Lytechinus pictus: one gene and its partner. The protein of the gene in region 1 purifies or fractionates together with the protein of each later gene. This does not show direct contact. Links are inferred from orthologs where the notes say so. Each region holds a gene or a part of one and is shown in the gene's direction. Other genes may lie near its edges.

Region 1 (7,467 bases):
ATACCGGTCTTCGACCTGGACTGGATCCTACATCGACGACAACCGATCCTGATCAAGCGTATGATCTGGTCGAAGTTGGTAACATGGTGGGAAAGAATGTGAATTCAAACATAAATCCTGAGACTTCTAGTAAAGACACGGGGGATGACGAGGATCCGTATTACTTTAAGTTTGGAGGATCGAAACGAGGAAGCTCCACAGCTCCTGCATCTTTACGTCTTACCCAACAACCAGATGGTAAACCTCCTAATAAAGAGACAGGCATCAAGGTAAACCGGAAACCAACAATCGCTGCTAAACCAAATCTTGCCACGCATACGAAGGGTTCCGTCGAGGAGAGTGCCGACTACGACAAACTCGATCGGTCTGCCATCCGCAAGCATGACTCGGAAGATGTTAATGCAAATGAATACAATAAACTTTTACCGCGGTTGGCCGTCTCAAACAACACCAGCTCGGGTGATATGCCAAGTGATGGATATCTGAAGGTGACATTAGGGAATGGAAGACATTGTGGAGATGATGATACCGATGGTGATCAAAGTCTTATGGAGGCTATAATTAATGACTATAATAAACTTGACAGGGGAGTAGAGAAAGAAATTGACAGTTTGGCGGTTGCGGTTGCAGATAAGTGATCGTCTCTTCCTCAAGGCAAACTGAAATAAACACTTGACTCGTACTATCATTTCATTCAACATGCTATTATCAGTACTACATTATATGATCAAGGGTGTGGTGAAATATCAGTAACTTAATGCAAGTCATATCTTCATGTGTTATTGACAGTAATTTATTGAGAAAATGTGTGTAATTGGCAATGGCGAAGAGTACTACTTGATATAGCTGTATTAACGTCTAATTTAACCTCTTGCAAGCAGTGATCTTGCACTGAAATCTTGGAAAACTAGATGAAAAAAACAACAAATTATTAATGTGACCAAGGCCTCATTCACAAACCACCTAAAGGTATATTGTGCCCAATGTCATTTACTGACTATAGTAAGTTTTGAGTAACATACACATGTGTAATGATTTTTCGATCACATTATTGAAACGGTCAAGTGAATTTGGTTCACAAAGAAATTGGGACACTTTACGTCCTCTCTAGAACTCATCGATTTGGCTGACTGACTTTTAGGAACAATGGGCTGTTGACCAGTGTCGGGACTTCGGCAAAACTTAGCAGTTGGCCAATTGCCACCCAGGTCCATCCAAAGTTCAGGCTACCTATAGATGTCTATGTCATAGAATGTCTTACATATATGTCTAGACATTGTGACATAAAATTAAAGTAAATTAGTAAGTCCAATGGATTAGTTTGAACTTTTAAGTATACCTGGCTCTTTTGAAGACAGGTCAATGAGCTACGGAGAAACATCATTGATCTAGAGATGTATCTCGTCAGTTTGATCACAAACATAACTATTATTGTGTTCGAAACTGACTCGTATATACCATATTGCTTGATATAAGTAATATGTGCACATACAATTGATTTATTTTACTCGAATTAGAAAAAAAGTATTATTCTATGGAAATGCGGGAGGGGATAATATCCCAGTGTCATGATTTATATTTCGTTCGATATGGTTGGGATGTGCGTAGTCAGCATATGTTGTAATAACTGTAATCATGATTACTATACTTATTTATCCATATATGTTTATTGCCGACAATTCAAGGGTCAGGAGCCCGTTTTATAACACTAGTATTATAACAAATTTACAATATCAGTTTAAAGCTACTGAAACCAGTAAATTTGATTGGATAATAACCAACTTGTTAATATAGAAATTGTACTTTGTTGTTCTAACAAATTTTTATGAAATTGGTCCTTGATCTACCAATAGCGTTTGTGAAAATAAAAGAGAGAAATATACATTTTCAATGCCAAAGTGTTGTATTGCTACACCTTTGTCTCGCCGATTTCTATTAAATATTGGCTCAGTGAAATAGTCCCCCCCCCCCTCTCTCTCTCTCACACATCCCCCATCCCGTATGAAACACATGCATCGTCGTCTGTACTGTTCGAGGGTATATAATTCACTGAAGTGGGCGCGTCGGAAACAAACATCCAAAGGTGGACCCACCTATTGGGGCCGGGTGCTTTGCCACAATATTTTGTGGCAAATTGGGCGCCAAATACGCAGAATTCCCTGGCTGGGGTACGTTGGGGAAGGGGGCTGGAGATATGTATTTTTCCCAAATGATACCTTGACAGTGAGGAAGGGAAATGACTGCTAAGCCTTTTCGAGAGTACTCTTTGTTTCGGTACACAACCCTGGTGAATTCAAAGATTTTCTGCATTTTTTTGGGGGGATGGAGGTGGGGGGGGGGGTAACTACCTCCACTATCAATAAACGCTCGTATGCGTGATCCCGCATTTGAGAGCCTACAGGCACAAGTTAATCCCATGCACACTAATACACATTTTGTGGAATCATGATGACCCTGCCCCTCCTTCGTTTCTGGGGCGCAAATGATCATGCCAGTGGCTCTGTTGCCGACTTACAAGCTTGAATATGGTTCTATTCGTTTTTTTTTTTTTTTTTTTTTGGGGGGGGGGGTAATTTCCGTACAATCTTGGTACCTACACTGTAAACTGGTGTTGACTCAATGATGCATGCACGAAGATGCCGATTCGCGAGGCAAGTGTGCAGCGAAAAAATAGAGACGTCAGGCCCTATACAATACTAGTATATCATAATTTTTCCAAAATCGTCTACTTTCTTTTAATCGGGGGGGGGGGGGGGGCTGTATAGCCTATTACGTCCCTTCCACTTCGTCCCTTTCCCTTCCCGAATCCTACGGCCCTCCTGGTGAGCATGTCATGAAATGACGGACTTTTTATCCGAGGCCTGTTTTATCGGACAGTTAATAGTAACGGTGATTTGACCAATCAGAATGAAGGAAAGGTTTCACATCTGACAACTTGTCAGACAAAAATGTTGATGAAAGCCTCCCCTGGAATGGATATCCTATCCTATTTAGAGCACGAGAGTCTTCTTCTGCAATAATATTCAAAGGGCTCTATCTGCAGCATAGTCTCTCGAAGGTGAAATTTAAGGATGCATGCACGTTATGAGGAGGAGTCTATTTTCAAAGTGGTTTTGCAGGAGAGTTGGGAAGCTGTCAAGCGAACTTGCATTTAGGCCTACTATTTGATGAGGGAGTTTATTCCACTCAGGAACAGATAGTTGGGCAAAGTCAAATTTGTCAATAAAATCTCTTGAAAGCAATGAGATTGATCAAATTATTATACGGCTTGCTCGCTTCGCTCGCAACTTTTAATAAATCTTACCCAATAAGCCACATATGGCCCCCTCTAATATTTTTGACCATACATGTGCATCTTTCATGGCATAGCCTATAGTCCTCCAATGTACCATGTGAGTAAAAAAAACTGAACTGGACACCTCACAAACCCTCGATTTAAGGAAAAAATATTGCATGAACAAATAGTTATATATTAAGTTTACTTGTACCAAACGCTCTTGAGGTGTGAGTATTTTTCAGACGCTTCTGACGAAGTCTTAATAAAGACGAAAGCTAAAGCTAAGGATGGTGTCCTGCGTCATCTTTTGAGTTGGCCTCATTTTATATATATATATACCATATTTATCAGGTATGTGTTAACGCTTGGATATTACAGTCATGGGTTTTTTTTTTACTGTGATGTAAAATTTGATTTACGTCAAAGTAATTCACAGCTGCAATGAATGAATCCAGATGTCAATGTTGTAATCCTGCATGAGTTATAAACATAATTTGCAAACCCCTTTTCAATGAAATTAACTTGAGAATCGACTCGGATACCAAAGTGTTTATTAAACAATTATAATGTTAATTACTGAAAAGGTGTTTCAATGCAAACCTTGTAGGATTGAAACACCATTGACATCTGGGTTCATTAATTGGAGACCATTTGGAGCCATGTCTTACTTGGGAGCAAGTAAAAATGTACATCACTGCAAAGAATACCTACTAATTATCCAACAGTGAAGACATATCACTTAAATATAGTATCATGTAATTATTATTTGGGAGAAGATGCTCTTTCCGGCCACAGATTATGATTAATATGTGCTCATGTCATATTTCTTCCTTAAATAGGGATTCGTGAGGTGTCAATTTTTTTTTTTTTTTTTTACTCACACGGGTATAACTAAAATCCCCCAGGGTCGAGGAAAAATAATGGATGTGGTGAAAGATAATTTTATATAGGTGGACAAAATAAGCTTATTTATCTACCTCTAAGTGTGCGTGTGTGTGTGTTTTTTTTTTTTTTCTCAGACGTGTATCAATCCGATATGGTTATGTACATCTTGGACCGACCTTTAACGTCATTATCCGAAAGATGTTACCGGGAGTTGAACCTCAAACCTCTGCATCAATTTTTTTTTGGCCTTGGATTGCAGCAGCTCGCAGGTCGCAGGCGCACGGCGCAAACATAACGTTAACGCGGCGCACCGTTAGAGGGCGCAGGTGCAGAAAAAACGTTCAAGAAGCGATCGGGAACAAACAAAAAGCGGTACACCACGAAAAGCCTGCTATTAAAGGTAAGTTATTTATCATCATTATGCGATTTCTGTCTTTTAAAGAGTTAATTTTATAATAATAAGGTACCTGGGAACCATACGATGAGTAAAATTTTGACTTAGCGTTCCTGTAATCCTACCTGCTTAACCTTTTACAGTTTAATTTTAACAAGTTTAATTTTATTTACTTCAGTCCCACTCGCTGAAATTGGTGCAGGTCTCTTCCGCAGGGCCGATTTCAACCCGGCGGCCGTAGCCAGGCGGCTTCTTGAGACTGAGTCTGAGAGTAAAAATTATTTACGAACGCAGGCTTACTCTCAAAGAAGCCAGGGGCCTGTTGCATGAAAGGGTCTTTCGTAGAACCATTCTACGTAAGAACGAGATATCGCTCAACTGTATATCTACTTTTACAAATTATACTTGTTAATGAATAATGTTATATAGCCTAGGCCTATGTGCTTTACCTCACAACCCTTTTTGTCAGATTTTGGCCTTTTTGATGCATTACCTGCCTGATGTGCAAAAAGTACCCTTTTACACATTTTTTTGTCACACATGTGTACAGTAATATAGTTGCCCCTCCCCCAGGCCGAGCCCCCCCCCAAAAAAAAAAAAAAGAACAAAAGAAAGAAATCAGGAAATTAAAGTGAAACTCGGTCATGATGTCCTGCAATTTTTTTCTTTAATGAAAACTATATAGGCCTACTGGTAAATAAGTTAATACATGTAAATAAATAAAACAATATATAAATGAATAAATAGATAAATGTAGTAAATAAAATAAATGGTATCTTTAAGTTACAGATTGTATATTCACAATTCAGCAATTGATGCATCTCATTACAGTAAACCTGTGTTCTAACAACAAACTATTTTGCAAAACAGAAAATATCTGAGAGTTGATTTCAATTGCTTCAGTTTCATTCATTGAATTTTCACCTGTTTTTTAGTTGAGCTGATTTGCATGGAGTCATTTGACATTCAAAGTTTGTGAGCCCTCGTCTGTTTTCTCACCCAGGACGGTTGAATATTTGGGTTCTTAAAGTTATACATAACTTAACATGTACTGCTTTATTAAGAATCCCTATGTTACACGGTCATTGCTTGGAGGCATGGCCTGGTACCCTAGCATGAGATGCATCATTATTGATGATCAAGCTGTGTGCTTTCAATTTGGTCTAAATTCTGTAAAGAAGAATATACTTTCTGTGTGCTTCCCTGCTGTCTAATATCAGTATTTTTGTTTTGTTGCAGGTTGAGAAGTAATTCAGAGTACTTAGTTAACAAGGTGATCTATGATCTGAGGCTGGCTTTGCTGGAGAGTCCTGCCCCGACAAAGTAGAGATGGCTCTGGTAAAATCAGATGAGAAAGCCATGGTTCCTCTGACTTCCAAACCAGCATGGGAACAAGAAAAGAAGCCAGACAAAAGAAAAGTACTTGATGAAGAGGTGTTTGTTAGTGTGAGTAATCCTGTCCAGTTCTAGTACTCTTTAATGGGTTTTACAGCGTTTATAGATGCATCTTTCTTTAATTCCGTGTACATGAGATATAAAGTGAATAACAAAATGAAGGTTTATGGAAGGCAGTATTAAAAGATGATGAACTATTACAATATGAATTTACGATAATATGAAAGAGCAACTCCTCATCTTTTTTATATTCATTGACACCATTCTCATACCACTGACGCATTTTCTTCTCCAAGTTTCGATAAAATAGGTGAAGTGTATGGAAACTGGTCAGTTTAACAGGAGAAGTGAAAATTTCAGCATTCATTAAAAAAACGTTTATGAACAGTGAGCATGTCAAGTAGCAAAGAAACCACTCCGTTTAATCAGTAACAGTTTCATTTCTGCCTTATGATACTTGTTAAAACTGGAAAAGTTGGATTTGTACCTGTTGTTTAACATTGATATCAATTATTAAGTCTTTCATATTCCAGGAAAAACAAATTGTAATTGTTAATAATCACCCTAAATTTTGATTACATCCTTTTTGTTTTTTTAAATGCACACCGTAATTTATAATTTTTGTTGAATCATCAGGAAATTAATATTTATCAACTGCTTCAAGGATTGAGCTTCTGGGGGCCATCAGATTTGAAGAAGATATAGCATGGAACTAGTACATACTTGTTCAATTACTACAATAACTACAATACTTGATTTTTGTTGACCTTTTACTTTTCTATTAGAACATTTTCATGAGTAATAACTTCACATTTATTAGATTAAATTTGGATATGATTTCCACCATTTCAATCAGCTATTCAATACCTACATGTATTTCATTGAAATTCTTGATAGTCATTCATTCTAGTCCGTCATTCATTCTACAATTTATAGAAAAATGAAATGCAGCAGAATGATATGATATCAGAGCTGTGATGACAAAATGTTGCTAAGCTTTTGTGACTTTAAAGATCGTTCCCATAAGCGGCCATGATGGAGGACAACGACACTTGTGCATTAGACCATAAAAAGATGACTTATCACAGTTGATGCACATATTGTCTTAATGTTAGTCTGAGTCATCTAACATGGCAACGCAGGATATGATACACGTGCTAGTGTAATTTTGTGATTTTTATTATCAAGTCCTTGCTTTCCATCTCCCTGTAGGACCTGGAAAAAATCATCCAGCGTGACTTCTTTCCTGACTTGAAGAAGTTGAAGGCTCAGCATGAATACATGGAAGCCATGCAGAGGAATGATCTTGAGAAGATGAGAGAGCTAGCCATCAAGTATGCCTCCACCTGCAGAACATCAAGACCTGGAACATCTACGATAACTCCCATGCAAGGTATGATGATGATGAGGATGAGGATGATGATGGTGGTGATGGTGATGATGATGATGATGATGATGGTGGTGGTGATGATGATGATGGTGGTGGTGGTTGTGATGGTGGTGATGATGATGTTAG
Region 2 (6,999 bases), on another chromosome or scaffold:
ATTTTTTAATGTTTGTACCTCTTAGGTATACCTTCCTCTCAACTTTGCAAATTTTGGTGAAAATGACATGAATTTTGAATAAAGTGCAGCATTTATTGTACTTTTGTAGTTTGTTATTGAAATTTCACATTTTTGAGATTGGGTTTTTGTTATCTTTTACACCATTTCTAAGAACTGACAGTGCTGTTAGACTTAAAATTGCAAACAAATAGCACTATAAATAGATTATCCCTCCTAACGATACAATTATTAACTCTCTTGCGAAATTTGATGACTTTTTCATGTATTTTGACTGAGTAATAAAGATTTAAATTCATTGTAGTAATCTTGCGAGGTCTAAAAATGCCAAATTATTTTGAATGCGCAATTCTTAAGAACATCAATTTGGGTGAACTTTGAAGCTCTATAGCAAAAAATCAAGCACATGGACCTATGTTAATTTTTGCATATTTCAAATATTAAGGTTCTAAGGTATCTATGTGCAAAGTTTGGTGAAAATGGCATGGATTTCACTTTAACTGTGGAACGTCCTTAAGGACCAAATTTTTTATTTTTTTTTCCAATTTCAAGCCCATGCATCTCTATTAAAGTTATCATTGTTTTATCAATTGATTGTTCAAATGTGATTGTTTGAAAGCTGAAATTCCAAACAACATTATTTTTTGTGACTATGAGGCCTAAAACAAATGGGTTTCTGACTCTGTCCAAAAATTTACTCTGTAAAATTCTGCATTTTCATGCATACATATAATTGGACACTCCTTAATTACGTGTTGCCCATATTAAAAAGAACACTTGAAAATATATATTCAATGAACTTAATTATGTTCACTTTCCACACATCCATTCTATCCAAAATGTTCTCTCCATAAAACTAAGCAATAGGCAGAACATGTAATTAAATGATAAATGGGTGAACTTTATGCCTCTCAATTTAAAATAAAAAAATCATTTCGATTTTAGGAACTACTACATGTAAAATGAGGCAATTATTTCAAAATTTAAAATGGAAAAATCCTCCACATGTACCTTCATTAGTGTGTAATTGTAATTAACAGCTTTCCAGAATTTCATGGATTTTTTGTTTTTTCATTTCCTGAACTGAACCTTTCCTGGAAAAAAAATGTCCCTGAATTTCCTGAGGCTGAACTACCCAATGTTGAGAAAATTGACCTGACAAATAGATGACTCGACATTATCATTATTCCGACAGGAAGCAGTTCAACAGCCCTGTGCCTGCATAGACTGTTACAGCAAAATAGGCAACATCTCTGACAGACTCCACATATATTGCATCTACAACATACTTCAACACATTCACAGGTTACATCAAAATTGTCTAGTTCTAGATCTATCCCATCCCTTGGCCCTTGGTATTATTGCCTTGAATAAAACTTTTAAAAGGCTGCCTTGATTGAACTCTCTCATTCTCTGTATTTTTCTCCTTTTATTAAATTCCAGACTATTAAATGGTTGTTCCTCTTTCTCTTTGCCTCTTTCTTCTTCATGCATTCACTACCAATATAATATGACTCAGAGCATAACAATAATTAGTATGAAAAGCTTACATGAACTACTACTAACGTTACATGAAGAGCATAAGTTACGTTATAACAAACATCCATCTTATCTACGGTAGATGAAGAACGACAAGTGCTGCCTTGACGCCAGACAGCGCATGCAGGCAGTTTCATCGCACTGCACAGGCGAAGCAACACAGCCAACAGCAGCCAGGCACTCGTCTCAATCACACTCGCAGTCAAAATCACAGACGCCATGGCGCTTGATCAGCTAAAGCCTAAATTACAATTTATAACTCATAATGAAACTCAAAAAAGGGTTACATTTAACTGATAACTCAAAAATGACTCACCGTCTTCCAAATCTGTTTCCGAACAAAGTGTAAAATCAATCTGTGGGCAGCGAAACGAGGGTGTTGTTTGTGTACAGCAGGGAAATCGTATGGGGGGGGAAACGTTATGGTATCCTCGAAGTTCGAACAAAACACTTCGTTTTGGTGGAATTTCGTTTTAACCTAAATTTGAATTAATCTCTATTTCTCATAGGTTCTGTCAGTCTAATTTAGATATAAAATTAAATCAATGATTATAAACCGATTATACAATACGTCATTAATGTGATACTAGCTCTTGATTTACTAATCAAATATTGTCCAAGCAAAAGCCAATTTCACCCAATTCAATGATCTAATTGTTGACAATATAGAGTCCGTTCATCTTCGACTTTTAAATAAGATCATCTCAAGAGGAGCGGAACGGATTTGAAAGTGGGGGGAGTGGAGGGGGCTGACCATACAAAAAATCATATTCAGATAGTCATTTGTACGTTTTTGTACAAGCCCCCGATGCCCACCCCCGTTTTCGCGGCCCCTCTTATGATTCTTCATGAACTAACTTTATACCGGGACTTAATACAAAATGAAACAATATAAATCTAAATAAACTAATTAACAAAGTATTGTAAGTGTAAAAAAAAAAAAAAAAAATATAGGAAGATTTATCACTACACAAATTATAAAGAAACAGGTATGTAAAACCGTGATGAATTGGGAGGGGGGTAATTGAGAATAAAAACTTAAAACAACTGCTACGATACAGGCCGGGGAGATGTGCTCTGTGTAAATGTATGGCGTTTGGTGTCATTGGACAGTGATGAATAAATCATGAAGAGGAAACTTACAAAGAATTTGCATGAGGATTAAACGTTCAAAAGAATTACAAATTTTCTAATTTCATAATTTTTGAGGATCCTGCAGACTGAACAAGCGTTGCTTTTTTAATGCAGGTTCCCTTATAATTATTTCACCATAATTCATTTTTAATTGTCTTTGATTTTCAAATCGCTTTTAATTGATTTAGATGAATGGTGCCATGTCCGATTTCTGATTCGTACACCGTGTTAGTTCTTCTGATTATTGTTTTGTATTATGTTCATAATTATGTGAAGTATGCCTAGGTAAAATAAAGTCAATTATCAAATATGTTTATTTTCACTTGCGATTTTAGACTTAAATGTTTTGCATTGATAATAAATGTAGTGCTATTTCTATCTTCTTTTTTTTTTTGGGGGGGGGGGGCTTACCTTACTTCTCCCTCCCCCCAGAAAAAAAATGTGTTAATGACACCCATCCTTCATACACTCTTATTTAAATGCTTGGCTAAATTCATTTTTTTTTTGGCGAAAAAACTACAGGAAGAGATGGGTCTCGATGCAAGAAATTTCCTGTCTCAAGCAAAGTGCGGAAACCCCTCGTTGTGATATGTTTATATTTTTTTGAACTTCCTTTATGATTCAGAACTTTAATAAAAAGGGGGGAAAATGAGGCGAAAGGCAATATCGTTAGATACCCAGCACAATGCCAAGGACGCACGGCATATGAGATGGAGAAAAAGTCTCAATTGCTTTGGTGTTTATTCTTTTGGGGAAAAACATAAGAAACTCCCACTTGGCCACATGCAAAGCTAAACCTTTCTTCCTTTTTTTCCTTCACCTTTGATCCTCTTCCCCAGCCTGAGATTCCTTTTTTTTTTCTTCATGGGTGGGGTGGGGGCAACCGCCTCTCGCTATGCACCTGCCCTGAACATCGATCCCTGAATTATACCGTACCAGTTTATAAGTTCTTTTAGGACTTGAATGATGTTTATGTATGACGAAATGCGCTGGTAGAAACATGAACTAATGCATTTTTTTGCCATTAAAAAAAACCTCAGGTACGCGGAGGACCGTCAAAATATTTGAGTTCAATAAAGCATTTAATAGCAAAAATGTATAAACTGTCAATTTTTTATTTAATTGACGATTACGTGAAGCTATAAGAAGCAGATATTTCTGATTTCCGAGTACATTGGACAATGACATGTATATGTTTTGGCAATTGGACGGCGAGATATATGTCGATTCGCTTGCTCTATTTATTTGCTTTATAAAGATACAGTACGGTACGAAATTACGTAATCGACAATAACTGTTGGTGAAGTGCACTGAGCTGAGCTGAGCCTGAGCAATGGGGGATTTTAGGAAGGTAAAACAGTCGATTCTTGCATCTTTTAGGCAACTTTTGGCTGCCCATCTGTTATGTATAAAATGATTGAGGAAGAGAGACTGTATATTCCGCGCAATTTAAAAAATGTTTTCTTTTCCCTTCCAAATATGAATATGAATTAATGATGCTGGTCGACGTCGACGAAGCGAACTACGCGCATGCCCCAGACACTCGCTTTCATGTTTGTTGAGCCTAATGTCACAAGTCTGAGTGAGTTGAGCACAGTCACAGATGCAGATGAAAAATGTAGCCAGTTCGTGCTTTTATTTGTGAGAACTGCAAGTAAAAACTCTGGTATTTTTTATTTACCAAAAAAGAAAATGATCAAAAATAATGGGCAAGTTCACCCTGAAAAAGTGAAATGAAACTGAGTGAAATCTGAATTCTGATTCTGAATCACTCTGAATTGTAAATTATAAATATAAGTAACTAACATAATCACAACCTATCATGCCTATGCACGTTAAAACCAATTATACACTAACGTTATTCGTCAAAGAGTGGTTTTCACCCGGTATATTGCACCTGCCCAGGAGGGCCCTGCATCGTATACATCCAGATCCAGAACTTGGACTCTAAAGCATGAAAAGACTAAATCTAGAAAAGACTAGAAATCTTTGTCAAAGTGGAACTGTAGCTGGGAGTGTTAGTGTTGAAGTGACCACTAGATCTACCAGAAAAATAAAAAGGCTCAACTTTAACTTTTGAAGCCAAGGTCAAACTTTGACTTTGTCATTGAACTTTGAGGAAAATCTGTCAAATATTAAGGAGGTTATTAGAATTCGAAGTTTTTTATTGATATTGATGCCGTTATGACGTTAGAAGCTGCACCATATCGGATATTAGTAAAATGCGTAAATTTCAAATAATCATGATGACCATTTTATTTTCAGAAACAAGTGTAAAATAATTTATCTGTTGATATTCTGATGATGGCAAGAAGGGCCAAGCCGGGCTTCATCACTCTTTTATTAAATGAACAAGGTTATGATATATAACCTTGTTCTCTGTTACTATTCCCTGTGTGGTGAAATAAGGTTGGCAATGTTTGGCTTGTTTTCTCTTGTTTTGGGGGACAAATGCTTGATTTTTTTTACACTGTCAGTTTCCATTAGAGCTATTCATCATGTAACTTGGTTCCTGAGTAAATTGAAGTCTTTTTTTTTTCTGAATTGAAAATAGAGATTGAAAAATAAAAATTTTACTTTCCATCAATAAAGGGCCTGCACAAAAATATACCAAAAATTCAAGTTTTTGAGCGCTCCAGTGAATACAAAAATGATCCCCACATTACTAATGAAAAAGTGACATTTTAATCAATTTTTTAAATGTGTGTTGTATACTCAATAGATCTACATTTAGATTCCCCCACAGGCAGGGTGGTAGCAGTGAACAAGTGGGCCTCATTAACTCAAGAGTAAACATGAATTATTTATTTTTATTCCACAAATTAATTCACTTGATAATGTTCTTTATAATTAAGAGTAGGGTAAGTTTGCTAAACATCTCATAAAAATTTGAAGAAAAAAAATATTATTTTCTCGTAAAAAACCTACATGTAGTCAATTTCAGATTGAACAAAAAAAATAGTGCCACATGTCTGCGCATCCATTCACTTTTCACACGATTCAGAGAATGTGAGACCGTCACATTTAATTCCTGAAAATCAATGTTTTTCCACCATTTTTATATGGATTTTTAAAATCATTATCTGTCTGTGTATTGCAGGTGTAAAGTTTGTGGTCATTGCATGTCTTCTACTCTTCTTTTATTAGAATCGTGCAGATATGTGCAGACAAGGGGATGTTACCAAACAAAAACCATTTTCATTTTTTTAAAGAAAATGACATTTCATTGATTTTTTTTACTGCACAATTTATGTGGAAGGTGCTCGCATATCATGAAGTCACAAATCGAAATATTCAAATTCTAATTACTTTTTTATTCTTTGATACATTTTCCTCAAACCTTCACCAATATTCATTTTTCTGCTATTTTTACAATAAACTTTTTGTCAGGGAACTTCCCCAATCAATCTCAGGAAGAAATATAACAAACGAATCAGAATTTTGTTGATTCATTACAGCACTATCACTTACCGGTACTTGGATACACATATTGGATAGTAAATGTCAAAAATTTTCCCATATTATATCAAAGTTTTCTCTTTCTTTTTTCTTTGTAATTCCTCATTTTTATTCAGAGTCATGCAGGAGGGGGATATGGATCTGAATTTGAATATGACAGTGAAACTGAAAGAAGAAAAAGGTAAGAACTAAATGCAGATTATACTAAAACAGTAAAAATAAATAGAAAAATATTCAGTGTCTCTTCTATAGATATTATTGTTTTGTATGTCTATCTTTGCCCCCCCCCCCACACCTGATTTTATAATTACTAACTATCAATTGAAATCTGATACCAATAGTTTCATATGACTGATCATGGAACTCTCTTATTAAGGTCGATAGTCTCATAATGATAAGCAAGACTGGTTTGAAATGTGGTAAATTGATATCCAGGGACTCAAGTTAAAGGGGAGTGAGAGTGATCACTCGCTACCGCTCTCCTTAATCCATTTTTGAGAGAGCGATTTATCACTCGCCTCAGCAATTGCCTATAACATGAGTGTTAGTCAATGATCAACTGTTAGAGTCAACCTTAAAAACCTCATTCTCTGTCAAGGTTTTGTAAATAACAATTATATTGTAAGCAATAACACACTTGCAAAAATTATTAAATAGTTCAATGAGATAAATACTGCATATATCTATATCTGATTGTTTGTCTCCATTGGTTGTGGGTTGTAACTGAGTGTACATTCCTCAATCCATTTTGAAATCGGAAAAGAGCTTTTTGTAGTGCTCCCTTAATTGTCCCCTTTAAAGTTTTAGGAGAGCTTTTTATTGCTCCCCTCATAATTATAAAACTGAGTC

What was found. The genes of interacting proteins can lie anywhere in the genome.
Region 2: the proteins of splicing factor ESS-2 homolog (region 1) and protein FRA10AC1 homolog purify together in Homo sapiens (co-immunoprecipitation; 3 studies listed by BioGRID and IntAct, counting the BioPlex papers as one, with this or other methods). This does not show direct contact. The link is inferred for Lytechinus pictus from reciprocal best matches to the Homo sapiens genes ESS2 and FRA10AC1.

What each region holds. Positions count from the first base shown.
Region 1 is NC_087246.1:35,359,807-35,367,273, reverse strand, and holds the start of splicing factor ESS-2 homolog, read left to right. Parts: upstream 1-4,461; 5' UTR 4,462-4,562; intron 4,563-5,795; 5' UTR 5,796-5,885; coding exon 5,886-6,002; intron 6,003-7,163; coding exon 7,164-7,344; intron 7,345-7,467. Other genes in the region: uncharacterized protein LOC129272812, read left to right, coding at 1-638. UniProt on the Homo sapiens protein: May be involved in pre-mRNA splicing.
Region 2 is NC_087256.1:20,271,132-20,278,130, forward strand, and holds the start of protein FRA10AC1 homolog, read left to right. Parts: upstream 1-3,973; 5' UTR 3,974-4,024; coding exon 4,025-4,042; intron 4,043-6,266; coding exon 6,267-6,331; intron 6,332-6,999. UniProt on the Homo sapiens protein: May be involved in pre-mRNA splicing.